Linked DNA regions of Xenopus tropicalis. The protein of the gene in region 1 binds, or shares a complex with, the protein of each later gene. Links are inferred from orthologs where the notes say so. Each region holds a gene or a part of one and is shown in the gene's direction. Other genes may lie near its edges.

Evidence for each region.
Region 2: tbp (region 1) and taf1d share a complex: the UniProt entries of both Homo sapiens proteins name them as parts of the transcription factor SL1/TIF-IB complex. The link is inferred for Xenopus tropicalis from reciprocal best matches to the Homo sapiens genes TBP and TAF1D.
Region 3: tbp (region 1) and gtf2b share a complex: the UniProt entries of both Homo sapiens proteins name them as parts of the TFIID-containing RNA polymerase II pre-initiation complex. The link is inferred for Xenopus tropicalis from reciprocal best matches to the Homo sapiens genes TBP and GTF2B.
Region 4: tbp (region 1) and taf1a share a complex: the UniProt entries of both Homo sapiens proteins name them as parts of the transcription factor SL1/TIF-IB complex. The link is inferred for Xenopus tropicalis from reciprocal best matches to the Homo sapiens genes TBP and TAF1A.
Region 5: tbp (region 1) and taf4 share a complex: the UniProt entries of both Homo sapiens proteins name them as parts of the TFIID basal transcription factor complex. The link is inferred for Xenopus tropicalis from reciprocal best matches to the Homo sapiens genes TBP and TAF4.
Region 6: tbp (region 1) and gtf2h3 share a complex: the UniProt entries of both Homo sapiens proteins name them as parts of the TFIID-containing RNA polymerase II pre-initiation complex. The link is inferred for Xenopus tropicalis from reciprocal best matches to the Homo sapiens genes TBP and GTF2H3.
Region 7: tbp (region 1) and taf10 share a complex: the UniProt entries of both Homo sapiens proteins name them as parts of the TFIID basal transcription factor complex. The link is inferred for Xenopus tropicalis from reciprocal best matches to the Homo sapiens genes TBP and TAF10.

What each region holds. Positions count from the first base shown.
Region 1 is NC_030681.2:50,706,327-50,710,480, forward strand, and holds the start of tbp (TATA-box-binding protein), read left to right. Parts: upstream 1-1,354; 5' UTR 1,355-1,445; coding exon 1,446-1,496; intron 1,497-2,121; coding exon 2,122-2,441; intron 2,442-3,598; coding exon 3,599-3,686; intron 3,687-4,154. UniProt on the Homo sapiens protein: The TFIID basal transcription factor complex plays a major role in the initiation of RNA polymerase II (Pol II)-dependent transcription.
Region 2 is NC_030678.2:100,292,372-100,296,661, reverse strand, and holds the start of taf1d (TATA box-binding protein-associated factor RNA polymerase I subunit D), read left to right. Parts: upstream 1-1,490; 5' UTR 1,491-1,630; coding exon 1,631-1,803; intron 1,804-4,290. UniProt on the Homo sapiens protein: Component of the transcription factor SL1/TIF-IB complex, which is involved in the assembly of the PIC (preinitiation complex) during RNA polymerase I-dependent transcription.
Region 3 is NC_030680.2:105,695,398-105,698,874, forward strand, and holds part of gtf2b (transcription initiation factor IIB), read left to right. Parts: intron 1-2,366; coding exon 2,367-2,473; intron 2,474-3,477. UniProt on the Homo sapiens protein: General transcription factor that plays a role in transcription initiation by RNA polymerase II (Pol II). Involved in the pre-initiation complex (PIC) formation and Pol II recruitment at promoter DNA.
Region 4 is NC_030681.2:9,682,265-9,686,481, forward strand, and holds the start of taf1a (TATA box-binding protein-associated factor RNA polymerase I subunit A), read left to right. Parts: upstream 1-1,417; 5' UTR 1,418-1,573; coding exon 1,574-1,682; intron 1,683-4,217. UniProt on the Homo sapiens protein: Component of the transcription factor SL1/TIF-IB complex, which is involved in the assembly of the PIC (pre-initiation complex) during RNA polymerase I-dependent transcription.
Region 5 is NC_030686.2:4,389,809-4,394,090, reverse strand, and holds the start of taf4 (transcription initiation factor TFIID subunit 4), read left to right. Parts: upstream 1-1,482; 5' UTR 1,483-1,496; coding exon 1,497-1,767; intron 1,768-3,566; coding exon 3,567-4,282. UniProt on the Homo sapiens protein: The TFIID basal transcription factor complex plays a major role in the initiation of RNA polymerase II (Pol II)-dependent transcription.
Region 6 is NC_030677.2:160,973,268-160,977,450, reverse strand, and holds the start of gtf2h3 (general transcription factor IIH subunit 3), read left to right. Parts: upstream 1-1,383; 5' UTR 1,384-1,428; coding exon of another isoform or gene 1,429-1,438; intron 1,439-3,010; coding exon of another isoform or gene 3,011-3,090; intron 3,091-3,506; coding exon of another isoform or gene 3,507-3,613; 5' UTR 3,614-3,720; intron 3,721-4,183. Other genes in the region: eif2b1 (translation initiation factor eIF-2B subunit alpha), read right to left, coding at 1,057-1,231. UniProt on the Homo sapiens protein: Component of the general transcription and DNA repair factor IIH (TFIIH) core complex, which is involved in general and transcription-coupled nucleotide excision repair (NER) of damaged DNA and, when complexed to CAK, in RNA transcription by RNA polymerase II.
Region 7 is NC_030678.2:177,470,375-177,474,455, reverse strand, and holds the start of taf10 (transcription initiation factor TFIID subunit 10), read left to right. Parts: upstream 1-1,281; 5' UTR 1,282-1,292; coding exon 1,293-1,461; intron 1,462-2,512; coding exon 2,513-2,664; intron 2,665-2,898; coding exon 2,899-2,963; intron 2,964-3,893; coding exon of another isoform or gene 3,894-3,926; coding exon 3,927-4,041; intron 4,042-4,081. UniProt on the Homo sapiens protein: The TFIID basal transcription factor complex plays a major role in the initiation of RNA polymerase II (Pol II)-dependent transcription.

The sequences.
Region 1 (4,154 bases):
GTTCTGTAGTGCACATGCCCTTGCCCAAGCCTGGCAGGTTATGCCTGAAAGGGGGTGGGGTTGCTGAAGCAGGTAAACTAAGTGGCTGGAATCCCTGAGGATGCCTAATAATATTTACTACTACCAGTCATTTTACTTTTCCTTCTCCTTTAAAGCTGGGCAAATTTTAGATTTGCTTCTTTGGCCTTGAGCTGACCAATTTGATTTGGAGCCATTTTATCTAGTCTAATAGTTTCTACTATTTTCTAGCTCATTCTGTAGTGCTACAGCCTAAACTCAGCAATAAACCTACGGCTCCCTGTACTGTTGAGGCATGATCTTACTGAGTACAATGGAAATTAGGCACTAAGTTATGTACATAAACCAACCTTGTGTTGTGAAACTAATTTGTGCGTTTAATTGGTTCCTCAGAGAAAAAGGTTTAGGGGCACATATAGCAAAATTTGTATTATTGTACTACAAAATCTCAGAATTTAGATATAACAAGGCTTGATTATTACATCTGAATGAATACGTTTATGGTTTTTATAGCTTCTTAGGGCTCTGGCACACGGGGAGATTAGTCACCCGCGACAAATCTCCTTGTTCGCGGGAGACTAATCTCCCCAAAATGCCATCCCACCGGCGATTCAGTGAAATCGCGGAAGTTGCCTTGAGAGGAAACTTCCGCTATTTCACTGAAATCGTGCCGCCACGTATGCCATCCCACCAGCGAATGACATTTTCGCCGGTTGGATGGCATTTCGGGGAGATTAATCGCCCGCGAACAGGGAGATTTGTCGTGGCGACTAATCTCCCCGTGTGCCAGAGCCCTTAAGAGATTTGGAGAAACTAAAACCACACGCAGGTCATTTTACAAATTTTGCTTGAAGGAATCCCATTGTGACATCTGCAAGTGTATAATTTGACTACACCATTTTAGTATACCTTTTTTTGTCATTTCAAGCAATTTGCTGCTGCTAATATTATAAATATCCCCTACATCTTATCTTTTTTTTTTTTTTACTTTATTTGTTCTTTTAAACAGTCATCTAGTTGTTGGGTCACTGATTTATACAGTAGGATTAATAGCAGATTAGCTTCATGGTGTTGTCTTTACTGCTTGCTATGGTCACATAAGGTTGTCATACACTTGCAGGTTCTAGCTGCCAATTTAGTTCCTTCAGACCAATTTGGCAGCTTATCTGCCTGTGTATGGGCACCCCCAACACGGATCGGGGACCACATTGGCTCGTTGTTATGGCCCTCTGTCCTACTGTTAACTTATCACATTTACCAATACAGGTGCTAACTGCTGAATGTAAGCTATGTTTTAATGTTTTTTTTTTTTTTTTTTTTTTAACTTCTTTTTATAGGATTTTTGTCTGCTGCTGGAATGGTTTATTTTAATTTGTAGGAACAGCACACTTTGTTTTATTCTTAGTGGGATTTCCAATTAACGCAACATGGATCAAAACAACAGTATACCCCCTTTCCAGGGGTTGGCATCACCACAGGTAAGTGTGAACCCTTTTTTCCCTTTTACCACAATTCCCCCTCCATAAAATAAAATGCCTTTAAAAGCATTGTAATATTCACTTCATTTGCACTTTCTAAATTGGGGGGTATACGGTATACCGGGTGTGGTTAATTTGGACAACAGATACAATACTGAAGAATGAAAAAATAGAAGAAAAACTTGAGACACAGGCCAATATGCTTCCAACTGACTTAGGGGGGAAATGCAAGTCAGCAGCCAATATTGGCTTCAATGCAAATGTTTCTCTTGCTGGGGCGCTTGTCGTAATAGGTGGAGGAACGCCATCCTGAGGGCTCTTGAACACAAAACAGATGTGTTCCGTTCTCATTCATGCATGTGAATGAATATAGAGCTGCATTTCATCCTATGCTTCCTTGTGGTGGAAAGGAGAAGAAATCCAATTCGGGAGACTGCAGGGTGAAAACACCTGTGTGTAAGAGCCCTTAGCTTGTCCTACTCCATGTGCAGGGCTATACCATAAGATTTTCATTAAAGAAATCCCCATGTACTAAGCCCATTTTAACTTGTGATTCAACTTGTGTGTGGGTTTGAGAGCAAATTTGTTATAATTTTTTTTTTTTTTTTGTCTTTTATTTCTGTAGGGTTCTCTGACTCCAGGGATTAACATTTTCAGTCCGTTGATGCCCTATGGAACTGGTCTGACCCCTCAACCTGTACAAACAACTAACAGTTTATCAATATTGGAAGAACAGCAAAGACAACAACAACAGGCCCAGCAGTCTACATCACAACAAGGCAATCAGGGGTCAGGCCAAACCCCACAACTGTTTCACCCACAGACTCTTACCACAGCACCTCTTCCAGGAAATACACCCTTATACCCCTCCCCAATGACTCCCATGACCCCTATTACTCCTGCTACCCCTGCATCAGAAAGTTCAGGAATTGTTCCTCAGCTACAGTAAGTCTCATCATCCTGGGGGACATTTTGCAGATATCATTTGTCAGATTATCTGTATCTGCACACTTGTCAACAAATCCTTATGTTTGTCTGTACATTTCTGTAGTGCCATAGAGCATACAACTCTGCAAATGGTAAATATTAGATATACAGGAAATGGAAACATATTCTGGCATATTTTAATTTTAGACAGTAATGACTTTATTTGTTATACCACATTTGAGTGTGGCCTGTCAAAATTAAAAGACCTTATCTTTGTTTTACCTTTGGTACTAATGAGTATTTTAACAGTGCTGCATTACCTTTGTTTACCCTGTGAGTGTTACATTTGTTTAAAAAAAAAAAAAGCTACATTTCTTAAAAATATAGGAGTCCATATTAGATTTAAAAGCTACCAGGCCAGGGGTGTGTGTATATATTAGGTCTAGAAACAGATGCAGACGGTTTCCTCATTTCAGACTTTTACACCACATTCTTGAGACTGAATTGATGTCATATTTAAAGTGAAACTTTATTGAGGGAGAAAGACTTGTCTTGATATGTAATTTAGCATGTACAGTAGTATCCTAGTTTTAATGTGTCCTATATCTGTCCAACATGTGTGAAAAATAGAACAAGTAAAGAATTGGGAAATTAAAATAGTTTAGCACTTTTACAAGTACTAATAGTGCAAATTTTTTTTTTGTAATACTTTTTAAAAATTTCCCATGGGGCTAGCCATGTTCATTTCCCAGGGTGCCACAGTCATGTGACTTTTGCTCTGATAAAGGTCAGTCACACTTTACTACTGTGCTGCAGATAGGAGTGATATCATCATCCCCCTGCAGGCGATCAGCAGAACAATGTAAGTTAGCAAGCTAGCAGCTCCCAGTAGATATCAGAACAGTACTCAATAGTAAAAAAAAAAAAAAAATTCAAGTCCAGTAGCTCTGGCTCCTTCTGAAAGCTCAGACTCGGGCACAATGCACTGATCTGGCTGCCTACAACTAAAAAATTACTTTTGTTGGTTTAAGAATAAAATTTTAAATGGTAAATTATTTGCTATGTAAACAGTAATTTAGAAATATAAGTACACAATAAAAATTAATGACTGAATACCTTTAAATACAGTGAGCAAAAATATTTGGATTTGTAATAACTGCTTTTACATTGTTCAGGAACATAGTGTCCACTGTAAATCTTGGCTGCAAACTGGATCTGAAAACAATTGCACTTAGAGCGCGAAATGCAGAGTATAACCCTAAGGTAAGACAAAAGCCTTTGTTGTATCTTATTCACCTAATAGTTGCTTTCACTGTGACAGACGGGGAGATTAGTTGCCACGTGACAAATCTCCCTTGTCGCGAGCAACTAATCTCCTCGAAATACTATCCCATTGGCTGGAATGTAAATTGCCAGTGGGATGGCATAAGCATCGCCGAAGTTTCCTCTCAAAGATGCCGCGTATGCCATCCCACCTGCGATTTACATTCTAGCCGGTGGGATGGCATTTCGGGGAGATTAGTCGCAACTAATCATCTCGTCTGTCACAGCCCTAAATATTCTTATCTATCTGTAAAAGTCATTCAGGAGAACACACTGGTGCATTGTATGGCACTTAATTCTGTAAATGTGTGATGAGAAAAGGATTTCCTGTTTGTAATTTTGTCCTGCCATACCCACTGGGCATAGTATTTTTATGCTGGCCTAGAAGTGGCATGAGGATGGGTTATC
Region 2 (4,290 bases), on another chromosome or scaffold:
ACATGCAAGGATTGGGCCGCAATGCGCACACATTTAAAGATGAAGAGCTGCAGTCAAAGCAGACATGCATCGGCACGCAGAAAATCTTTCATTCTTTGCACCGGTCCCCGGGAGGAAAAATGTTGGGGACAGCTGCGTTAGGGCACTCTAACTATACACAAGAAGCTTCACCAGGCTCACTTCCCATAGGCAATGTAGGACATGCAACATAGGGTACACACAGGGAACAGAGGGCAGACAGACTAGGGGGCACAGGCAGGGAGCAGAGGGCAAGCAGAGTAGGGGGAAGAGGCAGTAGTACTCTAGCAGTAACACCAGTCCCACCAATCACCACATTTGCCACACTCACCCTATCAGGGCTGACCCACCCAATACCCCACTAACCCCCCCAGGGCAGGCAGTAGGGCACCTAGTAGTAGAGCCTAGAGTCACCCTAGTAGGCACAGGCAGAGAGCAGGGGGGGACAGGAAAACAGCAGAGGGCACAGGCAGTAGTACCAGCCCCAACAAACATCCCATTTGCCACACTCACCCTCTCAGGGCTGCCCCACCCAACCTCCCAGGGCAGGCAGAGTATGGGGGGCACAGGCAGAGAGCAGACAGCAGAGTAGGGCAGAGGGCACAGTCAGGGAGCAGAGGGCAGACAGAGTAAGTGGGTGCAGGCAGAGTAGAGCCTAGAGTCAGCTAGCAGTCACAGGGGCACAGGCAGGGAGCAGAGGGCAGGCAGACTAGGGGGGGACAGGCAGGGAGAAGAGGGCAGGCAGAGAAGGCCACCTAGTAGTAGAGCCTAGAGTCACCCTAGTAGTAACACCAGCCCCACCAAAAATCACATTTGCCGCACTCACCCTCTCAGGGTTGCCCCACCCAATACCCCACCAAACCTCCCAGGGCAGGCAGTGTAGTGGCACACAGGGAGAAGAGGGCAGGCAGAGTGGGGCACACAGGCAGAGAGCAGACAACAGAGTAGGACAGGGAGCAGTAGGGGGCGCAGGCTGAGTAGGGGAACACACAGGGAACAGAGTGCAGAGAAGGGCACCTAATACAGCCTAGAAGTCACACCTGCCCTACCAAACCTCCCAGGGCCACCGCACCAAAAGCCACATTTGCCACTCACCCTCTCAGGGCTGCCCCACCCAATACCCCACCAAACCTCCCAGGGCAGGCAGTGTAGGGGGCACAGGCAGGGAGCAAAAGGCATGCAGAGAAGGGCACCTAGTAGTACAGCCTAGAGCCACTCTAGTAGCCACATCTGCCCGACCAAACCTCCCAGGGCCACCCCACCAAAAGTCGCATTTGCAACACTCACAAAACACGAGAGACTTCCCAGAGCTCTGTATCTCTCACTCACAGAGTAACCCACCGTCGTCTCGACAACGCACGAAAGACCGTCGCGCCTTTAGGTGGAACTTATATACACCATGTATACCACGTGACGATGACGCCGCACGATGACGTGCCCGGGCTCGGCATAGGCTTTACATACAGCACGTGCATCACGTGACGATGATGCAGTGTACACGTGACAAGGACGTCACTTGGATACGCCCATACACCACGTGTATAACGTGAAGATGACGGCGTGCGGAACGTGCCAATGATGTCACTGGGGTACGAATAGCCACTAGGAACTAATGGCTACCATCGCAGCAATGTTTGAGGAAGGAAGTGAACCAGATGCACACAGCTATGATATTCTTCAAAGCCAAGAACTTTTTAGTGATTCGGATTGTAATTTATTAACGAAGGATGCCAGTAAGCCAAACAAAAGTCCAACTAACAGTCATCATGGCCGTCTGCTGGACAGGTAAGTTTATACCTAGTTTAATAAAAGTTTATTGACATAGAAAACAGAGCTGACCATTTGTATTTTAAAATACAGTCACGTCAGGTAATTTGTCACTTCAGGGTTTTGTAACTCTTGGATTGGAAGACAATTGTAATCACTTAGGGGCACATTCATTAAAAGTACGACAGGTCCGATTTCAAAAATTTGTATTTTTTCTAAAGTTTACAACTTCTGCGTATTTTGAGTAACTTTTTTCGTACTTTGTGTCAATTTGTGCAACAAAATCGCATTTGTCACAACAAGTACGAAAGTTTCGGATTCATTTAAGCTAGTGCTGGGCGGTATACCGGTTTAACCGGTATACCGGTTTTTGAAAAAAAAACGATATGATTTTTGAACATACCGCTATACCGGTATGCGTGCCTCCTGCAGTTTTTATCCAATTACATCCGGGTTGCGCCCGTGCGCACGTGACGTCGGCGCGCATGTGACGTCGGCGCGCACGCGACGTCGCTAGGACGCATCGCTGGAGGAACCACAAGTTGGGTAAGTGGGGCTGGGGTTGTGGCTGTGGCTGGGGCTGGGGGGGTTGTGGCTGGTGCTGGGGTTGGGGGGGTTGTGGCTGGTGCTGGGGTTGGGGGGGTTGTGGCTGGTGCTGGGGTTGGGGGGGTTGTGGCTGGTGCTGGGGTTGGGGGGGTTGTGGCTGGTGCTGGGGTTGTGGCTGGGGCTGGGGCTGGGGGGGTTGTGGCTGGTGCTGGGGTTGTGGCTGGTGCTGGGGTTGGGGGGTTGTGGCTGTGCTGGGGTTGTGGCTGGTGCTGGGGTTGTGCTGGTGCTGGGGTTGGGGGGGTTGGGGCTGGGGCCTGGGGGGTTGTGCTGGTGCTGGGGTTGGGGGGGTTGTGGCTGGGTTGGGGGGGCTGTGGGGGTTGTGGCTGGGGGCTGGGGGGGGTTGTGGCTGGGGGGGCTGGGGTTGGGTGGTTGGGGTTGGGGGGGTTGTGGTTGGGGGGGTGGGGGGGCCACCAATATTTATTATTTATTTTTTATTTATATACCGTCAAATACCGTGATACCGATATAATTTTGAAAAATACCGTGATATAAATTTTTGGTCATACCGCCCAGCTCTAATTTAAGCTTCGTTATTGTGACTTTCCGTGGGCCAGGTTGGAGCTGCAGAGTGCCATTGAGCCCCATGGGAGACTTTCCTTGGGCCGGGTTGGAGCTGCAGAGTGCCATTGAGCCCTATGGGAGGCTTTCCTTGGGCCGGGTTGGAGCTGCAGAGTGCCATTGAGCCCTATGGGAGACTTTCCTTGGGCCAGGTTGGAGCTGCAGAGTGCCATTGAGCCCTATGGGAGGCTTTCCTTGGGCCGGGTTGGAGCTGCAGAGTGCCATTGAGCCCTATGGGAGGCTTTCCTTGGGCCGGGTTGGAGCTGCAGAGTGCCATTGAGCCCTATGGGAGGCTTTCCTTGGGCCGGGTTGGAGCTGCAGAGTGCCATTGAGCCCTATGGGAGGCTTTCCTTGGGCCGGGTTGGAGCTGCAGAGTGCCATTGAGTCCTATGGGAGGCTTCCAAAATCATTCACTGAAGGTTCAAACTCAGAAAGGTTTTCCCGCCGTTTACGATCGTTTGGATTCCAACATTTCATAACTTTCGGATCGTACCACAATATTTTCGTACAAGCACGACGTGACTTTTTCGCAAAATTAACGCACATCAGAAATTTGTGTATTTAATTCAAATTTTCACAAATCGTACTTGTAATTTGTACTTTAATGAATCTGGCCCTTAGTTTAAGGGTGATGGCGTATTGGGCACTTTGTTGTTCACATGAAATTGTGTAACCCTGTCATCAAATTGCTGGAAAATACATTTTAAATATTCACAAAATGCATCTTCCTCTATTTTGGGGTGGTGTGCACACAACAATTCCCATGATCAGCAATGATTAGCTATTTTTGGGTGTTTTAATACCCATACAAGAGCTTATTTTGCATGGGCACCAAAACACCCACATTCTATCCTCCTTGAAGGGGACATATAACTTTATTGTGCACATGTTAAAAAAGGTACTACAATAAGTGAGTGGGTTAAAGAGATGGGAAATGTTATGCGAATGGAGGAACTACTTATTAATGTCCAGGGGACACCAGACAAATTTGTCTCGACATGGTCCCCATGGATTATGTTCTTAGAATCATATAAAGATAAATGAATGAAACTGGACTAGGAACACTACTAGAAAGCAGATATACATGAAAAGGTCTAACGTTAATTGCTGGAAACGATATGAGGTTAACAACGGAGCGGCTGAGCGACTGAGCACTTCCAAGTTCTGTTCCCCCCCCCATTATGAAAATTCTCTTTCCCCCTTCATCTTCTGGTTTCTGGAAAAAGTTATCTCCCCTTCTCTCTTACCCCCCCCCCCCCCCTTCCTTCCTTTTCTCACCATGCTTTTTTCCCTCAGTACCATATCAGACAACATGGTAATAATGACAGCAACAGCTTAACT
Region 3 (3,477 bases), on another chromosome or scaffold:
GAACTTAATTTCCAAAGAATTGTCAGGTGGGTGAAAATGTTCAGTCCTTGGTCACTTATATGTACATTTCGAATCTTCTTCATTGGTAGTTTTTGATATTTCTGGGTTCCTTTGTAAGCTTCACTGGCACAGGGACTGGTGTGAATGATCTATGTCAGTGCTGTCCAACTGGCGGCCCGCGGGCCCCCCTCTGTGTGGCCCCCCACCTGTCTGGCTGCTTTGATGGCTTACCTTTGAGTAAGCATTAAATGGTATAAGTACTGAGATTAACTGGCCCCCTGCATGGTTCTCACCTCAGATTCAGGCTGTAATCCCTCTGTATTGTTTAAAAATGTAATCCATTGTGTTTTTCACACCTTTTAATCCCTGCATTGTTCACCCCCTGCAGTGTTCACACCTCAGGCTGAGACTGTAATCACTCCCATTGTTCACGTATTCACACCTCAGACATAGGTACTGTAGGCAGAGTATGGCACATGCAGCCAGCATAGGGCAGGTAGAGTATGGCACATACAGCCAGCATAGGGCAGGTAGAGTATGGCACACACAGGCAGCATAGGTCAGGGAGGGTATGGCACACACAGGAAGGGTAGGGCAGGCAGAGTATGGCACACACAGTCAGGGTAGGGCAGGCAGAGTATGGCACACACAGGCAGGGTAGGGCAGGCAGAGTATGGCACACAGAGGCAGCATAGGGAAGGCAGAGTATGGCACACACAGGCAGGGTAGGACAGGCAGAGTATGGCACACAGACAGCATAGGACAGGCAGAGTGCTGCCTGTGTGTGCCATACTCTGCTTGCCCTATGCTGCTTGTGGGAGGTGAACCTGGCAGGGGTTTGTTGTGGGAGTTTGTTAGCAGTTGGAAATAGCCATTAAATGGTCCCTAAGGTGTTTAATTATGTACTGGGGGTTGCTCTGCTATCCACAGGGGAGGAGGAGGCATATGGAATTTAAGGGTATATCTTAATATGACCTAATTCTTTCACATATGAATGATGGTTGATATCCCCACAGTAAGGACCAAGCATTTGGGATTTTGCTGTGCTACCACCATTGTGATAAAATAGGTGTGGTTTCAAAAAGGGGAGTGGTCAAAACTGGCTTCCATTAGCGGCCCTCCACCATGTATGCTAGAGAAATTCCGGCCCTTGGCACTGTAGAAGTTGGACAGCACTGATCTATGTAATTATACAAGTTGTACATTTCAAACAGTACACTGAGGCCTTTTGTATTCTATATGCGGTTGCAGTTATTCTGACTGCATATTTAATCGGATGGAAGTTTTATTGTTGCAGTGCATATACCAACTGTTCAGTATGGTGAACTGATCACACCCATGATATCTTTACTCTTTGGCTGTGTTTAACTCTCAAGCCATAAACCAGCTGAAAAAACTTGTTCCTTTTAATCCCCATGTTTTGTGTGCTTTAGATCGCTTTCGGTTTCTTTTAAACAAATTACTGGTGATTGATAGGTCTCAAGCAGTTTTCTCTAAATGGCACATTTTTATGTATGTCTTTCATTTTTCAGTTTTTGACACCCGGCTATTGGTATGTTTTTCTTACTTGCAATCAGAATGTAAGCTTTAAGACAAGCACTTGCTCTAATGGTATACATAGATGTATTTACTTGTTATAGGCATAATTAAAGGGTCATATTAATGGACTCTACAGTTGAGTAAATTAACTTGCTGTGTACTCCATGTTTAGTCTTCTTGCAGGTAATCCGCATTCCTTTAACTTGCAGCCTAAGTGTAGGGTGATGTTAGCAGCCCCTGCACTTTTTCTCCCCGGCACGCAGCATGCTTACTGCTCAAACCCAGGTTATGGTGCATGCTTTGTTAGGGGTAAATGCATAGAAATCCAACGTGACCCCAGCAGTGTTACTGCACCAATTCTAAACACAAAGGTAGCTTTTGGCTTCAAATGTACTCCTGTTTCTTGGCCTAAATTTAGTTGCCTGCTGTATATAGGCTGACTTTCTCGTTTTAAGTGATTTTCCCATCTAACCGAACAGTGTGTTTCTGTCTGCATTTATTAAGACCAAATGTTACTGCTAACAAATGCTTATGTCCAGTATTAAATAGAATAGGGCTGTTCAGCTGGAGGACTGAGGGCTGTATGTGGCTTTTTCTGAGTTCTTTATAGCCCGTCTGCCCAAGATCTCCAAAGACATCTTTCTATGGCATAACTGCTATAGAATAATTGGCCCAAATCATTTGAAATAAAAAATGTTATCCACAACATGGGAAACATTGTATGGCTTCAGTATACAGCTGCCTGGCTGGAGCCATGTAACACTCACTGCTGCTTGTACAAACTGCACATGTAAGTAAGTAACCTAATTTTTCTTATTTCCAAACAGCATTGATGCACTTCCCAAGGTAACTTGCCCAAACCATCCTGATGCCCTTCTGGTAGAAGATTATAGGGCTGGGGATATGATCTGTTCAGAATGCGGATTGGTAGTGGGTAAGTCTTTGTTATAAAACCCCATTATTAAATGTGTAATCTATTTCTGAGTTCACTGTTAGGGCTTGTGTTAAACATGAATTCTGTTTTTCACTAAATGCAAATCGGTAAACAAACTGGTTTTTTTAGTGTCCTATATATATTTTGCTTAAGTTCATAATAATCCTCATCATTATTACTATGGCTTAGGTATATATAATGCCTTTACGGTTGTGCTCTGTAGCTTTGTAGCTTCAGAGCCAGTTTTTCGTTTTTAAATATTTAGACCTACAGCATTTTGCTGGTGCTCTACATTAAGTGGTCAGATTATGCAGAGAGGAGCCCTTGGCCTGAACATCTAGATATTGGACTGTTTTGCAATCCCACAAACAGGAAAATAACACTTATCCATTCACTCTTTCATGGCCTGAAAAAGGTTGGCTACCCTATTTGCCAGTGCCCTATCATGTGCTGAGAAAGAGCATTGGTAGATTTGTTACTCTGTTTTAACAGAGTGGCTGTATCCCATAGGATGGTCTTCTGAAATCCTACCCTGATGTGATTTGGTCAGTCTCCCCCACACCTGAATTCAGGTTTACACATAAGAAAACTTTGTTAAATTTGTCAACCCCCTATAGTGCTAGTGATATCCATAGTGGCAAATAAATTGCAAACCTAAATCTTTCCCTTAGTGGACTTCAGGCAAAGCTCCTCTTTTGGCAACATATGGCATAGAGTTCTTTTGGTGCTTTAGATTCAGAAAAAAGCCACAAAGCCTCAGTCAGGGCAGTATCTGCAAAGAATTTGTCCTTCCCATGCTTTCCACTTTCCTCCCACATCCCAAAAACTTACTGGCAGGTTATTTGGCTCCTCATTAACCATAGTTTGTTGGAGACATGAGACTGTAACCTTCACTGGGGCAGGGACTGATATTCTGTAGCACAATACAGAGATTATACATATATTCATATGTTGGCACCATGTAAAGGAAAATGCAAAAGGCATAAAAGATAATGAACAGCTGC
Region 4 (4,217 bases), about 41 Mb from region 1:
CCTATTGCTTAGTATAGCTGTAACTATTGCTGCCTATTGCTTAGTATAGCTGTAACTACAGCTGCCTATTGCTTAGTATAGCTGTAACTATTGCTGCCTATTGCTTAGTATAGCTGTAACTATAGCTGCCTATTGCTTAGTATAGCTGTAACTATTGCTGCCTATTGCTTAGTATAGCTGTAACTATTGCTGCCTATTGCTTAGTATAGCTGTAACTATTGCTGCCTATTGCTTAGTATAGCTGTAACTATTGCTGCCTATTGCTTAGTATAGCTGTAACTATAGCTGCCTATTGCTTAGTATAGCTGTAACTATTGCTGCCTATTGCTTAGTATAGCTGTAACTATTGCTGCCTATTGCTTAGTATAGCTGTAACTATTGCTGCCTATTGCTTAGTATAGCTGTAACTATAGCTGCCTATTGCTTAGTATAGCTGTAACTATTGCTGCCTATTGCTTAGTATAGCTGTAACTATTGCTGCCTATTGCTTAGTATAGCTGTAACTATTGCTGCCTATTGCTTAGTATAGCTGTAACTATTGCTGCCTATTGCTTAGTATAGCTGTAACTATAGCTGCCTATTGCTTAGTATAGCTGTAACTATTGCTGCCTATTGCTTAGTATAGCTGTAACTATTGCTGCCTATTGCTTAGTATAGCTGTAACTATTGCTGCCTATTGCTTAGTATAGCTGTAACTATAGCTGCCTATTGCTTAGTATAGCTGTAACTATAGCTGCCTATTGCTTAGTATAGCTGTAACTATTGCTGCCTATTGCTTAGTATAGCTGTAACTATTGCTGCCTATTGCTTAGTATAGCTGTAACTATTGCTGCCTATTGCTTAGTATGGCTGTAACAAGGATGTCCAAAGGGATCAAAGCTGAAAGGAATGACCAAATGTTCTGTATGGGCCAACTGTAACAATAGTGAGGCAATAATTGAAAAACTGGGTGGGTTATAGGGTTTTTAAAAATCAAAAATTAAAACCATGTCCATTATTCACAAAAACATGGCAGTGTAACTTCAAATAAAATACTAAGTTTGGGATATCAGGAGCAGACTCTGAGGGTAGTGGGTATTGCTGGTAATCACCAGAAAAATAAAGCTTTTTTTCATATTTACCTCACCCACAAATATAAACAAAGTGTTTTTTTTGTTCCCATTTACATGTTCTGTGGAGCAGAGAAAGCAAATATTTGTTTTTTCATCAAACACTGGGGATAAAGCTTCTAAGGGCAGTGGCCATGGCAAGGAAACACGAAGGAAAAAAGCAGTCGTTATTTTCTTTATTTATTCTCTAACAAAATCAGAATCTGTGAGAGCAGAATAATCAGTCAGCGGCCCCCACTGCCAGCTATTGCCTGACTAACTCTTCACCCAATGACGAGTTGGCGCCGTCTCCGCCCCTTTTATACGTGGTTCATGACGTCATATTCTCGCGAGAGGAGGCTAGCGGCGTGTGGCTGAACATGCCTGCGGGATGCTTGGGGCTGGAAGTGCAAGCGGCGCTGCGGGGAATGTAAACACAGTGTGAGGGGGAAGCAGCCCGCTTGTCTGATTGTAACCGAGGGGAGATGGATGGGAGCAGCGAACGCAGTGCGGAAAGGGAAGATTCCGAGGAGGGACCGAGTGAGGAGGAGGTTCTGGGGCTCCAGCTGCCGGTGCCAAGAAGGAAACCCCACGGTAAAGACACTTAAGGGTATATTGATCATGCTGTGTAAAAAGTGGAGTAAAACATCACCAGTGTTGTTGTATATAGCAGCCAATCAGATGCTTTGATTTGATTTTCTAACTGTTGAAATCTAATTGCTGATTGGTTGCTCTGGGTAACATCACCAGTACTGCTTTACTCCACTTTTTACACAGCATGATAAGTACATACCTCCCAACATTTGAAAAATGAAAAGAGGGACAAAAAGATTTGGCGCGCGCGCAGTGCGGCATTTTTTTTAATCACGCCCCCTTTTGTGGCCACGCCCCAATTACCACACCCCATTAAAAAAAAATACCCCTTTTATATAGATGAAATGGCGGGCGCAGACGAAAATGTGCTATACCCTCATACTGTACTACCTAAGGAAAACAATATAGCAACTCCTACATATAAATACAAGTATAGAGAGAAGGCAGTCAGTTATAACTAAGTACCAGTTTTGCCCCCCCATACACAGTAGCCCCCCCATACACAGTAGCCCCCCCATACACAGTAACCCCCCCATACAGAGTAACCCCCCCATACAGAGTAGCCCCCCCATACAGAGTAGCCCCCCCATACACAGTAGCCCCCCATACACAGTAGCCCCCCATACACAGTAGCCCCCCATACACAGTAGCCCCCCATACACAGTAGCCGTCCCCCCGATCACAGTGTCCCCCCGATCACAGTGTCCCCCCCGATCACAGTGTCCCCCCCGATCACAGTGTCCCCCCGATCACAGTGTCCCCCCGATCACAGTGTCCCCCCCGATCACAGTGTCCCCCCCCACAGGTCCCCCCGATCACAGTGTCCCCCCCGATCACAGTGTCCCCCCCGATCACAGTGTCCCCCCCGATCACAGTGTCCCCCCCGATCACAGTGTCCCCCCCGATCACAGTGTCCCCCCCGATCACAGTGTCCCCCCCGATCACAGTGTCCCCCCCGATCACAGTGGCCCCCCCGATCACAGTGGCCCCCCATTCACAGTACCTCCCATAGGCGCAGGCTTCTTCTGCTGCTTCGTTATGCCTCTCCTTGTGCAGCGCGACAGGCCCTTTTATAAGGTTGCGCCCATGCGTAATGACGTCACACCCACAGGCGCAACCTTATAAAAGGGCCTGTAGCGCTGCACAAGGAGAGGCATAACGAAGCAGCCGACGAAGCAAGAACATCCGGCTACAGCAAGCGCATCCTGCTGTGCCGGATAGTTCCATGAATGTCCCGCAATGCGGGACAGTTGGGGGGTATGTAAGTATACCCCTTAGTAGTGACTGTCTGTGGCACCTTACAGCCCCCCTGGCATTCCCAGTACCCAGAGGCACAAACAGCCCCCCCAGCCCAATAAATAGTGACTGTCTGTGGCACCTTACAGCCCCCCTGGCATTCCCAGTACCCAGAGGCACAAACAGCCCCCCCAGCCCAATAAATAGTGACTGTCTGTGGCACCTTACAGCCCCCCTGGCATTCCCAGTACCCAGAGGCACAAACAGCCCCCCAGCCCAATAAATAGTGACTGTCTGTGGCACCTTACAGCCCCCCTGGCATTCCCAGTACCCAGAGGCACAAACAGCCCCCCCCCCCAGCCCAATAAATAGTGACTGTCTGTGGCACCTTACAGCCCCCCTGGCATTCCCAATACCCAGAGGCACAAACAGCCCCCCCCCCAGCCCAATAAATAGTGACTGTCTGTGGCACCTTACAGCCCCCTGGCATTCCCAGTACCCAGAGGCACAAACAGCCCCCCAGCCCAATAAATAGTGACTGTCTGTAGTACCTTACAGCCCCCCTGGCATTCCCAGTACCCAGAGGCACAAACAGCCCCCCCCCCAGCCCAATAAATAGTGACTGTCTGTGGCACCTTACAGCCCCCCGGCATTCCCAGTACCCAGAGGCACAAACAGCCCCCCCCCCAGCCCAATAAATAGTGACTGTCTGTGGCACCTTACAGCCCCCCTGGCATTCCCAGTACCCAGAGGCACAAACAGCTCCCCCCCAGCCCAATAAATAGTGACTGTCTGTGGCTCCTTACAGCCCCCCTGGCATTCCCAGTACCCAGAGGCACAAACAGCCCCCCCCAGCCCAATAAATAGTGACTGTCTGTGGCACCTTACAGCCCCCCTGGCATTCCCAGTACCCAGAGGCACAAACAGCCCCCCCAGCCCAATAAATAGTGACTGTCTGTGGCACCTTACAGCCCCCCGGCATTCCCAGTACCCAGAGGCACAAACAGCCCCCCCCCCAGCCCAATAAATAGTGACTGTCTGTGGCACCTTACAGCCCCCCTGGCATTCCCAGTACCCAGAGGCACAAACGCCCCCCCAGCCCAATAAATAGTGACTGTCTGTGGTACCTTACAGCAGCCCCTCTGGCATTCCCAGTACCCAGAGGCATTGGCCAGAACCCACAGATTGCCAGTCTGGGCCTGGTGTGGCTGTAGAGTTGCTAAATTGTATATAGGGAACCTCTGCCCTCAGTAAACTGATACATTTAGCCCTCATAAAGGAGACATATCATGTTAAAAT
Region 5 (4,282 bases), on another chromosome or scaffold:
TGTATAAATAATATATCCAGATGGGAATTAAAGGGACAGTGCACCGGCACCACCTAGCCAATGGCTGAGCAGGAGCAGTCTTCCATTATATAATAGGTTAACGTTTTGTGTTTTAGCGCTGCCTCACAACAGGAGGCCAGTGGCACATTCTTACTCTTTGGTACATAAAATAACATGGGACCCCAATACTGCTTGGGGTTTCCCTTTGATTGCAAGCTCTTCTGTAAAGTGCTGGGTACCATACAGGCACTCTATAAAGTATTGAGGAGAAATCCGATAGAGGGAGGATACAGAATCAGAGCCTACTCCCTAACAGAACCCATTCCAGAACCTTAAGGGACAGAATTCTTCTCATTGGACAAAACCTGCAGGGCCCCTGATCACCCCCCCCCCCCCCTCCAGTGATCCTTTGGGGATCCAGTTTCCAGTCATGACTTGTAGATCCACTAACCTATCATTTATTGGGGATTAACCCTCTAAACACTGTGCAGGGAAAATCATCACCCCATGTAGATTGTATCTATCCCTTATACAGCCCCATACCCTCTCTAGTTGCCCAGTTTGTTACCCCACAATGGGGCAGTCACATTAACCCCCGGCCATGTCCATTTCCCAAGGCCCATTGAGTACTTAGTCCCCATTACACCACTTCTTATAAATAAATAAATAATCTAGTAGAATTTCTATTTGGCTTTAACTCCCCCATCACCATAATAACCCCAATACCCCTGCCCAGATACTATACTGGGGTACTTATTGGCTCTTATACCTCCAAACACTGCCCTAGGGTAATCATTCACCCCCTATAACCCCCATTACACCCCCAACAACTCTACTGGGATAGCTATTCAGTTCCCAAGGGATATATATACTTATTTACCCATATGCCCCTCTTATCCACCCACATACCCCTTTATTTACACCCCCCTACACTCCTTCCCAGATACACAAGCTTCTCCCTGCCCATAGTCACGGGAACCACATTAGTTGTAAAACTACAACTCCCAGCATGCCCCTCCGCCTAAGCGGCACGGTCGGTAGACAGCGGATCCCACAAGCGGCAGTAGTGCGTTTGTCCGAGCCCTGTATGAGGTGTCCCACCCACCCGGTGACAGGAACGCCCCCTCCCTCCCGGTAACCCGCAGCGGGCGGCAGACAGGAGTGGCGGCGGGACACCCGCAGCAGCCATTTTGAATTGAGCAGACAAAGAGCGCGCGTTTCTGTGGCGGGGCGACTTTCTCCGCTTCAGGCGTCGCCACGCCACCCGGTTTCCCGCGCAGACCCTTCCCCGACCGCCCCCTATTTTTGTGCCTCCCTCCCGTTCCACCGACCCCGCTCGATCCCCTCCTGCCCTCCCAATACCGCTCGCAGCCATTTGCCCGCTCCTTATGTAGCCATGAAGCAGCCAATGGGAGCGCCGCTCCGGTGTGACGTAATTGCCCCGCCGCGCAGGCGCACAGAGCTGCTGCCCTCCTGAGTTGAGCGGCGGAGTAAAGATGGCGGCGGGTTCGGATCTACTGGATGAGGTTTTCTTCAACACGGACGTGGACGATAAAGTGGTCAGCGAGCTGGTGGGATCCCTGGAGTCTCAGCTGGCCGCCGCGGCCCACCAGCACCATCATCACCACCACCACCAGCAGCAACCCCCCGCCGAGGCCCGCAGCCAGGCCCTGGCTAACCATGTCACCAGCCCGGGGGTAGGGGCAGCCAGTGCGGGGGGACAGCCTGAAGCCAAGATAGGGCTCTCCCCGGAGGTGCCTAAGACGGGTGAGGCCTGGGGGCGCCGAGCTGAGCGGGCAGGGGGGCCGCGGGAATGTTTTGGCGGCCGGCGGGCTGACTGGGGGCCTTCAGGGGCTCTGCTGGGTGTGATGGGCCCCGGGAAACGCTCTGGGGGCCCCACATGGACTTCTGGAGTTGCTGCTCTTGGAAAACTGGATACTTGTACTACTTGGCGCCTGTGGAGTGACTTGGAGGGGGGCCAAGGGCTTTGGGGGGGCACATTGGCCCATAGGAAATAGAATTGGGGGTACACATGGACTCCTGGAGCTGCTGATGGCTGGCGACTGGATATTTGGGGTATCCGGCAGTTTCCTGGGGTAACCGGGCAGCCTGGGGGCATTTGGGGGGTATACTGGGCCCTGGGCAGCCTTCTGGCCAGTCTCACATGGACTCATAGAGCTGCTGATGGCTGGCGACTGGATATTTGGGGTACCCAGCAGTTTCCTGGGGTAACCGGGCAGCCTGGGGGCATTTGGGGGTATACTGGGCCCTGGGCAGCCTTCTGGCCAGTCTCACATGGACTCCTGGAGCTGCTGATGGCTGGCGACTGGATATTTGGGGTATCCGGCAGTTTCCTGGGGTAACCGGGCAGCCTGGGGGCATTTGGGGGTATACTGGGCCCTGGGCAGCCTTCTGGCCAGTCTCACATGGACTCATAGAGCTGCTGATGGCTGGCGACTGGATATTTGGGGTACCCAGCAGTTTCCTGGGGTAACCGGGCAGCCTGGGGGCATTTGGGGGGTATACTGGGCCCTGGGCAGCCTTCTGGCCAGTCTCACATGGACTCATAGAGCTGCTGATGGCTGGCGACTGGATATTTGGGGTACCCAGCAGTTTCCTGGGGTAACCGGGCAGCCTGGGGGCATTTGGGGGTATACTGGGCCCTGGGCAGCCTTCTGGCCAGTCTCACATGGACTCATAGAGCTGCTGATGGCTGGCGACTGGATATTTGGGGTACCCGGCAGTTTCCTGGGGTAACCGGGCAGCCTGGGGGCATTTGGGGGTATACTGGGCCCTGGGCAGCCTTCTGGCCAGTCTCACATGGACTCGTAGAGCTGTTGGTGGCTGGCGACTGGATATTTGGGGTACCCGGCAGTTTCCTGGGGTAACCGGGCAGCCTGGGGGCATTTGGGGGGTATACTGGGCCCTGGGCAGCCTTCTGGCCAGTCTCACATGGACTAATGGAGCTGTTGGTGGCAACAGACTAGAGATTTGTGGCATTTTAGGGTTTTGGGGGTGACTGTGGGGAGATGAGTGCTGTGTGGATCATTAGGGGGCAGTTTGTGCCCCAGGAGAAGATTTGGGGGTCCACATGAACTTTTGGCGCTACTGATGGCCTTGTTGTAGATACTTAGATACCTGGGATTTTCTGGGGGCTATAATGAGCCTTAATAAATGGACTTGGGGGGCAAGAGGCACTATATGGTCATTTGGGGGGGTGTGGGTGAAATTGCCTTATGTGGGGTATGTTCCCCGTGTACTTGGGGAGCTGGCACTGAGGGCACCGTCTATATGCCGCTCACTTACAAGGGGGGGGGGGGGGGTAAATCTTCCTGGGGGCATCATTGGGTTCTCTTGGAATGGTTTGGATTTCTGGGTGGCATGTTGGGTTGTGGGGTTGCCTAATGCCGCTTCTGAGGGGTCCAGTGGGCGTTTGCTGGTGGAACCAAGTGCTGGACCAGAGTGGGTGCACAGGGGTGGCTATCTGTATATTCCGGCGGGTGTATACCCCATAGCTCTGTTTCTTTCCCTGCTGTTTAAAAAAAAATGTCCTTTTTCTCCCACAGGAGCCGCTGTACCCGGAGTACAAGGAGGTGTCATTAACAGCCGCCCACAGACCACAGCACAGCCTGACGGGACTCAGTCTGCTATACCCGAAGCACCAGGAGCTCTTAGCCAGGCCAAATCTGGGGTTCTGGGCAACATGGCTTCCACTCTGCCCAACCACAGTTCAGGTAATGGCAAAAATGCCACCCTACAGACCATGAATGGGAGTAATGTTGTGATTAATTCACACGGACCTGGGGGTCACGGAACCCCCTACCAGGGGAACAGCAATGCCGCTGTCGGCCTGGTAAACAACGGACCGGCTCCTGTCGCTAAGGGTGGAGTGAACCCAGGAGCTAACACCGTTATCCAGACTTCTTTCCTTGGGACTACTAACGTGGCATCCTCAGTCATCTCCTCCTCATCCACATCCACTGCGGGAGCAGCTGGGCAGCAAGCTGGCATGGCGGGCGTACCCACCAGCGTGGCATTGGTGAGACCTCTGTTGCACCAGGGCGTGCCCGCCACTCAGAACGGGAGCAATACTGTGATCAATTCCCCTCTGTCCGCCCCTGCCGGGGTCTCGCTGCAAATGAACAATCAGCCCAGTCCGGTGATCAAGTCGGAATCCCCTAAAACTATTATCCAGCCCCCTCAGCAGAGCCAGCCTAACCCTGGCAATATGGTGTTAGGACAGACTATGCAAGCTGGGCACCCTGGTCCTGGAGGAGCTGTG
Region 6 (4,183 bases), on another chromosome or scaffold:
AAGAACCAGATTACCTTGCGAGGGTGTAGTCGAACTATAACAAATTAAGAAGAAAGAGAAGACAACCTTTCAAGGTCTATTCAATTTACTTTTCTAAACAAAATACTAGTGCTTTTTGTTATATTAATGCAATAGTATTTCTTATTACAGTCCCCCAATTTGATTAAAGTGACAAGTGCTGTGATTAAAGTTGTCTTTATATCAATATTACAGAAGAGGAAAACTTAAATGATTCCAATTTCCAAGGCCCAAATACCTAACTAGGAACTAGTAGTTGAACTACAACAAGATACAAGAACAAACACCCTATAGAAGTCTTGTGCAAATTTGACAAAATTCCAATTATTACACACTCCCAATATTCAAGAGATTTTAGAAAACTGCCTGACGCGCGTTTCGCCTTTAATAAATCTCTGGCTAAATGCATGTCAGGCATTTTTTTTACAAACCTTTTAGTCTCTTTTAATATTTGAGTTTTAACCAGGCACTGAGGAAGCAATTTGGGGTAATAGTAGGCGTCTGTGTGAGTTCCCTACTCTTTCCTCTTAATGTGTATCTATATTACGATACTATACTATATCTATACTATCTAGACTTATGAGGTAAAAAATTGAAACATAAAAAGCAAATATTCACACTATACAGCTTCCCTGCATGTTTGTTTAAGAGGCTCTACAGTCAAAATTCCAATGAATGTAACCTTGCTCCGACTGCTCTTCCATCACTTTCCCTTTATTTCTACTGCTGTTTTCTATATTATCCCATATACCCAAGCCAGGGCCAGGGAACCAGCAGTAAATACTGCACTAAGTGAGAATGGCCCATATCATGTAATAGTTTATTTATAAAGCAACATTGTCTGTAGCTGTGGGATATGATAATGTCACAGGGACAATAGGGTTAACATAAGAGCTGACAATATGAGGGCTCCTTCACAACAGAGACTGTTATACCATGCCAGCTGCTTCCATTGGTAATTGGGCCATATATTATATATTTGATATATTTCGGCAATGTATCTGTAGCGTGTCCACCCTGCATCGGTGGAGCTTTTACCAGCAGGTTGGTAGATCCCAATGGCAGCTGGAAGCCCACAGCTTGGAGATAACTTTATCGCTGAATTCCATATAGCATGGCCTGACCCCCCGCTCCGTGAGCCTGACTGCTGGGGCGCTCGGCTTGTGTATATGCTGCGGGACCCCGGACCCCAGTCCTCACCTTCTTCATTCATGGTTCCGCCTGCGTTCTCTGAAAGAAAAAGTCGCTACTACCCTACAACCCAAAAGCTTCTCCACGCCGGCCTGCTATCATCTGGCAAGGACAGAGTTAATCTCGGCATGGCGAGCTGACAGAAGACGCCCTTACGCGGACGACGTCATTGGAGTGCGACAGTGCAATGGCTGTTTCATTCTGAGAAGAAGAGTTGCTATGGCTTCTGGTGAGTTACCTGGGTGTTGTGGATTTTATGAATGCGGCTGTGCGGTGTGGGGGTGCCGCCTGAGAGGCTGCCAGGCTATGCTTGGTGTTGGGGTTCTTCAGAACAATTCAGAGCTTGGGCGCATTGTGAAAAGTGCAGGATGATAATAAAGCCCTGCGCTATATAAACCCAGAAATACGCACCATAATACCATTGCCACTTCCGGTTAGTACAGAATACTACTTACAGGGTAGCTATGGAAATGTCCCATGCTGACAGGCGCACAACGGACCTACAGCTCAGTGACACATTCAGGAATCATTTGGAAACTGCATGCAATTCATATATCAACTTATTATAAGCTATTTAATGCAGGTGGACTGGTGGCCTAGGCAGACCCACTGGCCCAAAATAAAGCACAAGTCTATAGCACCTAACAGCTGCCCCACTGGCATTTGCCAGAATATCCATATTGCCAGTCTAGGCCAGTGGCATAACAAGTGGGTACTGGTCCCTAATACAACATCTTTTACAGCCTTTTTTATAAACACTTTAGAAACCTAGTTCAATTTTTATTTCTACATCAATCAGTTCCCCACTGGATCCCCCACTAGTTTTTATTAACTGAGCAATCAGTTAATAATCTGCCGCAAACAACTCCTTATTCTCTGAAACAAGTCTGTGTAGCATAGCAGATGACAAACCTTTGCCAACATACAGTGCTACTCCTATATGATTGCCAAATATAGGGTAATGCCATCATCCAGTGTGACGGACCTTATTCAGTAAATGTCAAATGCCGCACTGCATAAAAGTATGTGCATGAAAATGATAAATGTTATAACCTAAAATGGAACACAGGCAAATTTGCCTGTACCAAGCGGACATTTCACTTACCCCTTCTCATGGATTTATTTAAATCTTGTGTTGCCCCAGCATTGTGTAAAATTGCCTTCCCAACCCTAACTGCCATTAAGATATTGCCTGTATTGTAGGTCCACAGATGTCTCCATTGTAGCTGTACCCTGAATTGTGAATTTTGCAGGATAAATGATAATAAAGTGTGTTTGCACTATATGTATAAAAATGTTATTACATGCTAATAATGCTGGCATCTTAAATGAATATGCTACTGTAAATTATACTATCATATGTTATATAGCTTATAACATTAAAGATTTACCTGTATAACTTCTAGTCTATAGGCATCTGTGCTTTATCAATGTTAGCTGCTTCCCACAATGGTTCCAACTAACTCTGTTGCTCTCATACAATAGAATCCCATGCTGAATCATGGGTCTTGCCAACTTTTAGTAGATACCAGCCCTAAAAGATTCCAGTTTGGTAGAAAAATATATTGAATGAACCAGCAGCGTCAAGTGCAGACTGCAGGGAATAAGTTTCTTGAGAACTGTTAAACTTCAATATAGTTACACATTTGAAAGGAATTTGTAAAGGCATATATTATTCAGTTGATGGTAGTGATTTACCATAATGCATATAAATGCTTTGTAGAATTTTTAAAGATAATAGAGAACTGACACCCATCCTATTGCTAGAATAGGCATTTCAAAAATTCCTTCTTTCCTGCAGATGATGACGTGAATCTTTTGGTTGTTGTTGTTGATGTGAATCCTATTTGGTGGGGTCAGCAGGCACTTAATCATTCAGAGGTAAAGAAAAAGTCATTTATGAACCAGACACATTGCATTTTACAAGTGGTCCTGGTAGGTTAGCCGTCCTGTTAAAAGTTGAGCTTACTACCCACACACTAAAAAATAATTTATTTGGTTGTTAAGTACTCCATGTACAGCAGACTATTCAACTGCAAATGTCTTGCAGTGTTGCAGCAGCTTCAGATCAGTATCATAACAACAATCACATGACCATTCATCTCAGTCTAATTGCTTGGCAATCACATACAATTCTATTTCTCTGTATCCAATCCTATCAGTTCCTTCTGTGTTGCCTTTAAATTACATCCAGCTTATTATGTAATTGTCAGGCATGTTAGCCCAATGTAACTGTGTTTAAAAATATGCTAATATGCAGGCTTGTTATAACCATTTTTATGTTTTATTTTCGGCAGGTAACACTTCCAAAATGCATTGATGCAGTAATAGTGATGGGGAATTCCCATCTATTTATGGGCCGTAATAACAAGCTTGCTGTCATTGCCAGTCATATTCAAGAGAGGTAAACAGAGCTTTTATCTGTACCAATATCAATAATAGTTAAAAGGGAGAATAACACTCATTTGTGTGAGTGGCAGGCGGACCCATTGGCCACAAGTTGCACCACAGGTAACAACTCCTTCATAACTAGTAAATCAAGTGCAAAAACAATTAACTGCCTTTGTCCTCATCTCCTCTTATGTTATTTCTGCACTTGGTTTAACTTATATGAAAGTGTACTGCCACCCACACCATTGGGCCTTACTATGCCTACAGCAACACATAGGTCCCTTTTTTTAAAAGTTATTATTTTCCCAAACTTTTACGCAATAGTTTGAGAAACGGAAAAGAAAGAAAGCAGGAAGGTAAGAAAAGGTGTGGCAAGTAAATAGCATTAGTACCACAGTGTATGCAGGCATTAAGTTAATTAGTAGAGCTAGAGCATTTACCAAGCAACCCAGATGGCATGAAATTTATTGGGGCAGTCTCTGGCAATATATGTTCGTTTCTGATATGGTAAGGTGTCATCAATGCAGATGTCTGCTGCCAGTGCAAAAAACGGCCTTTTTAGCATAGTAAAATAGTTGTAGGT
Region 7 (4,081 bases), on another chromosome or scaffold:
CTGACGGCGAGTGTGTTAGTTACTGACGGCGAGTGTATAGTTACTGACGGCGAGTGTGTTAGTTACTGACGGCGAGTGTGTTAGTTACTGACGGCGAGTGTATAGTTACTGACGGCGAGTGTATTAGTTACTGACGGCGAGTGTATTAGTTACTGACAGTGAGTGGGTTAGTTACTGACAGTGAGTGGGTTAGTTACTGACGGCGAGTGGGTTAGTTACTGACAGTGAGTGGGTTAGTTACTGACAGTGAGTGGGTTAGTTACTGACAGTGAGTGGGTTAGTTACTGACAGTGAGTGGGTTAGTTACTGACAGTGAGTGGGTTAGTTACTGACGGCGAGTGTATTAGTTACTGACAGTGAGTGGGTTAGTTACTGACAGTGAGTGGGTTAGTTACTGACGGCGAGTGGGTTAGTTACTGACAGTGAGTGGGTTAGTTACTGACAGTGAGTGGGTTAGTTACTGACAGTGAGTGGGTTAGTTACTGACAGTGAGTGGGTTAGTTACTGACAGTGAGTGGGTTAGTTACTGACAGTGAGTGGGTTAGTTACTGACAGTGAGTGGGTTAGTTACTGACAGTGAGTGTAAAGAGACCCCCATAATGGCTGCCTGAGTGGAGGCGGGGGGGGGGGGGGTGGATCAATAAAAAGAAAGTCCCAGCTCCCGGGAGGCGGACACTCACCCACTTGCTCAGTGAATCAATGTCGGAGCAATTTGGATCCGGTTTTCACTCTTGTGGTTTCCCAGTCCGTTTTCGGTCTGCGAACTCCGCCATATTGCTACACCCAAATACTGGCCTCAAGCAGCCCCTGCCCCAGGGTAAAGTCCAGCCCGCCGGCTCCTAACAGCCCCGGTTTGGTTGCCTGTGGCGCTTTTCACGCTCAGAAGAAGGAGTTGGTGTCGCGCCTCACTGTCAGTCTGACTCCCATGCACTTCGCTAAGCTCATTTCCGTGTGTAGCAACATGGCGGCACTCTAGCGTGCCTCAGCACGTAACCAAGCGACATCCAATCACAGTCTGGCTTTGTTCAAATCCTAACGCAGCTTTGCTATCACCGCTTTGATTGGCAACATTTTAAGCCAGTAAATGGCCGCGCCCTGGCAGGTAGCCAATGGGCTTTCTACGTAAGGTTATGTTTCTCCTGAGCTGTGTAGCTGCCGCATTGGCCGGTAGGGGGCGCTGGGACACGCCTTGCAGGAAGATGGCGTAAAGGCACTGCCCGTTGTTTTGGGGAGGAGATTAAGTGGAGGAGCTGTTTCCGGGTGTTGACGGAAGTTCCTGTCCAAGGGTGAAGATGAGCGGGACGGAGACAGCGCCAGACTCTCTATCTGCTATTGCCTCAGTCCAGCCCGGTCCGGCCCCAGAGAGTAAGCCCAGCCCGGCAAACATTCCCAAACCCGGGCCTGCCGCGGCCTCTGCAGCTGCTCTACCCGGGAGGGACACGGGGGAGCGAAGAGCCAGCGGTGAGCGGCAGCAACTGAACCGGAGAGGGAGGGGGGGGTACTCACAGGGGACTGGGACTCCAGGAAAGGCCTGGGGAGAGAAACCCAAGCATGGAGGGGAAAGGGAGAGCCGGGGGGGCAGCTGGAGCAGAGAGGGGCCCGGGGGGGGCAGCTGGAGCAGAGAGGGGCCGGGGGGGCAGCTGGAGCAGAGAGGGGCCCGGGGGGGCAGCTGGAGCAGAGAGGGGCCCGGGGGGGGCAGCTGGAGCAGAGAGGGGCCGGGGGGGGCAGCTGGAGCAGAGAGGGGCCGGGGGGGCAGCTGGAGCAGAGAGGGGCCCGGGGGGGGCAGCTGGAGCAGAGAGGGGCCGGGGGGGCAGCTGGAGCAGAGAGGGGCCCGGGGGGGCAGCTGGAGCAGAGAGGGGCCCCGGGGGGGGCAGCTGGAGCAGAGAGGGGCACCGGGGGGGGCAGCTGGAGATGAGAGGGGGCCCCGGGGGGCAGCTGGAGCAGAGAGGGGCCGGGGGGGCAGCTGGAGATGAGAGGGGCCCGGGGGGGGCAGCTGGAGCAAAGAGGGGCCCGGGGGGGGGCAGCTGGAGATGAGAGGGGGCCCCGGGGGGCAGCTGGAGATGAGAGGGGCCGGGGGGGCAGCTGGAGATGAGAGGGGCCCCGGGGGGCAGCTGGAGATGAGAGGGGGGCCCCGGGGGGCAGCTGGAGATGAGAGGGGGGCCCCGGGGGGCAGCTGGAGATGAGAGGGGGGCCCCGGGGGGCAGCTGGAGATGAAAGGGGTCCCGGGGGGCAGCTAGAGAGGAGGGGGCTGTCATAGCTGAGAATTGCCCTTTGCTAGGGCAGGGGGTAGGAGTGGTGCCGGGGGTGAGAAGGGGAACGTATGGAAGGAGCTGGGTGAATGGACCTGTTTCGGGGCAAATGGTGCCCACTGGGTTGTACAATGGGGAGTACAGTTTGGGGACAGATAGGGTGGGGGGGTATTTGGAGAATTGGGCGCAGGTAAGTGCCCGGCTGTGTGACTATTGCCCAGTCCTTTCCAATTCCAATGTATGTTCTGTTATTGATCCTCCAGTCCCTGCATCAGCGGCTGCTGCCCCCTCCGAGGGATCCCTCTCTAATGGCGTGTACCTGCCCCCGGGGGTGGCAAATGGCGATGTCAAACCTGTCATTTCCACTACCCCCCTGGTGGATTTCCTGATGCAGCTGGAGGACTATACCCCTACGGTAAGTGTCCCTTGGGTCTGTATGGGAAATGCTGTGCCCTAGGGTACTGGGGGGGGGCAGTGCCAGGCATTTGCCCCACCTTACACAGTGTCAGGGTGCAGCTTGTGCCTACAGAACATCATTTCTCTGTATGTATGTATATCTGTTGGTGGGAGCTGCCATATTGTTTCCCTGTATCATTGCTTGTATCTGTTCCAACATTTGCTTTACATTCCTTCTCCCGATTTCCTGCAGATCCCAGATGCCGTCACTGGATATTACCTGAACCGGGCCGGGTTTGAAGCATCCGACCCACGCATGTAAGTACAACTCCTGCTGCCATACGTTATTGGCCCGTGGGTACCGGAGCTTCTCAGAGCCCTGTAGCAGTTGCCTCGACTAGGAAGAACCTTCCCTTATTCTGGCCAGCCTGTAGCGCTAGGTTATGGGCCGCCGTGGCCAGTAGCCGTTTGCTCTGTGCCTACCAGGAGAGCTGACAGTCACGCTTATGGCCACAGCAACTGGAGGCCTAAATAGGGGTTAAAGTGCCCGTTCTGGTGCTGCCATTCCGTTATATGTATTATCCCTCTTTATTATTGTTTATCTTGCTTTCTAGGAACTGTAATGTAATTGGTGGAGACTCGTTTGGTGAGATTGCCAAATGAGCGGATCTTCTCCACCTACAGTGGGCAATACCGGGCTAGGGCCAAACCATCGCAATGGCAGATATCGGTTGGGTAGGCCCGTCGGGGGGTGCCCATACACGGGCAGATAAGCTGCTGAATTGGTCTGAAGGACCCGAATCGGCCCTTAAAGGAAAAGTAACACTAAACATTTTTAACTAAAAAATCTATTCTGCCCTCCCCCAATAATTGCCCTATCCTGAAATCCATTTGTTATTGTGAATGCATCAACTATGCGGTGATCGACTGATCGAGCCTAGCCTGACTCATTCCTATATACAGAAGTCAGGGGCTAGATCAGTCGATCACCGCATAGTTGATGCATTCACAATAACAAATGGATTTCAGGATAGGGCAATTATTGGGGGAGGGTAGAATAGATTTTTTTAGTTAAAAATGTTTAGTGTTACTTTTCCTTTAACCCTAGCAACCAATCAGAGTTGCTTTCATTAGTCTTACTGCAGTTATCCAATCAGGCCTGTATGGTGATTACTATGAGTTCAGCACAGCATCTGTATTGACTTCGCTTATTTTGAATTTCACACCGGATCCTCTCGATCTCTGTAGTGATCCGCTGACCCCACCGCTTGTCTCTCCTAGAATCCGGCTGATCTCCTTGGCATCTCAGAAGTTCATCTCTGACATTGCAAATGACGCCTTGCAGCACTGTAAGATGAAGGGGACGGCCTCCGGGAGCTCTCGCAGCAAAAGCAAGGTACCCCGCCAGCAAATGCCCTTCAGTGGGGCTATTGTGC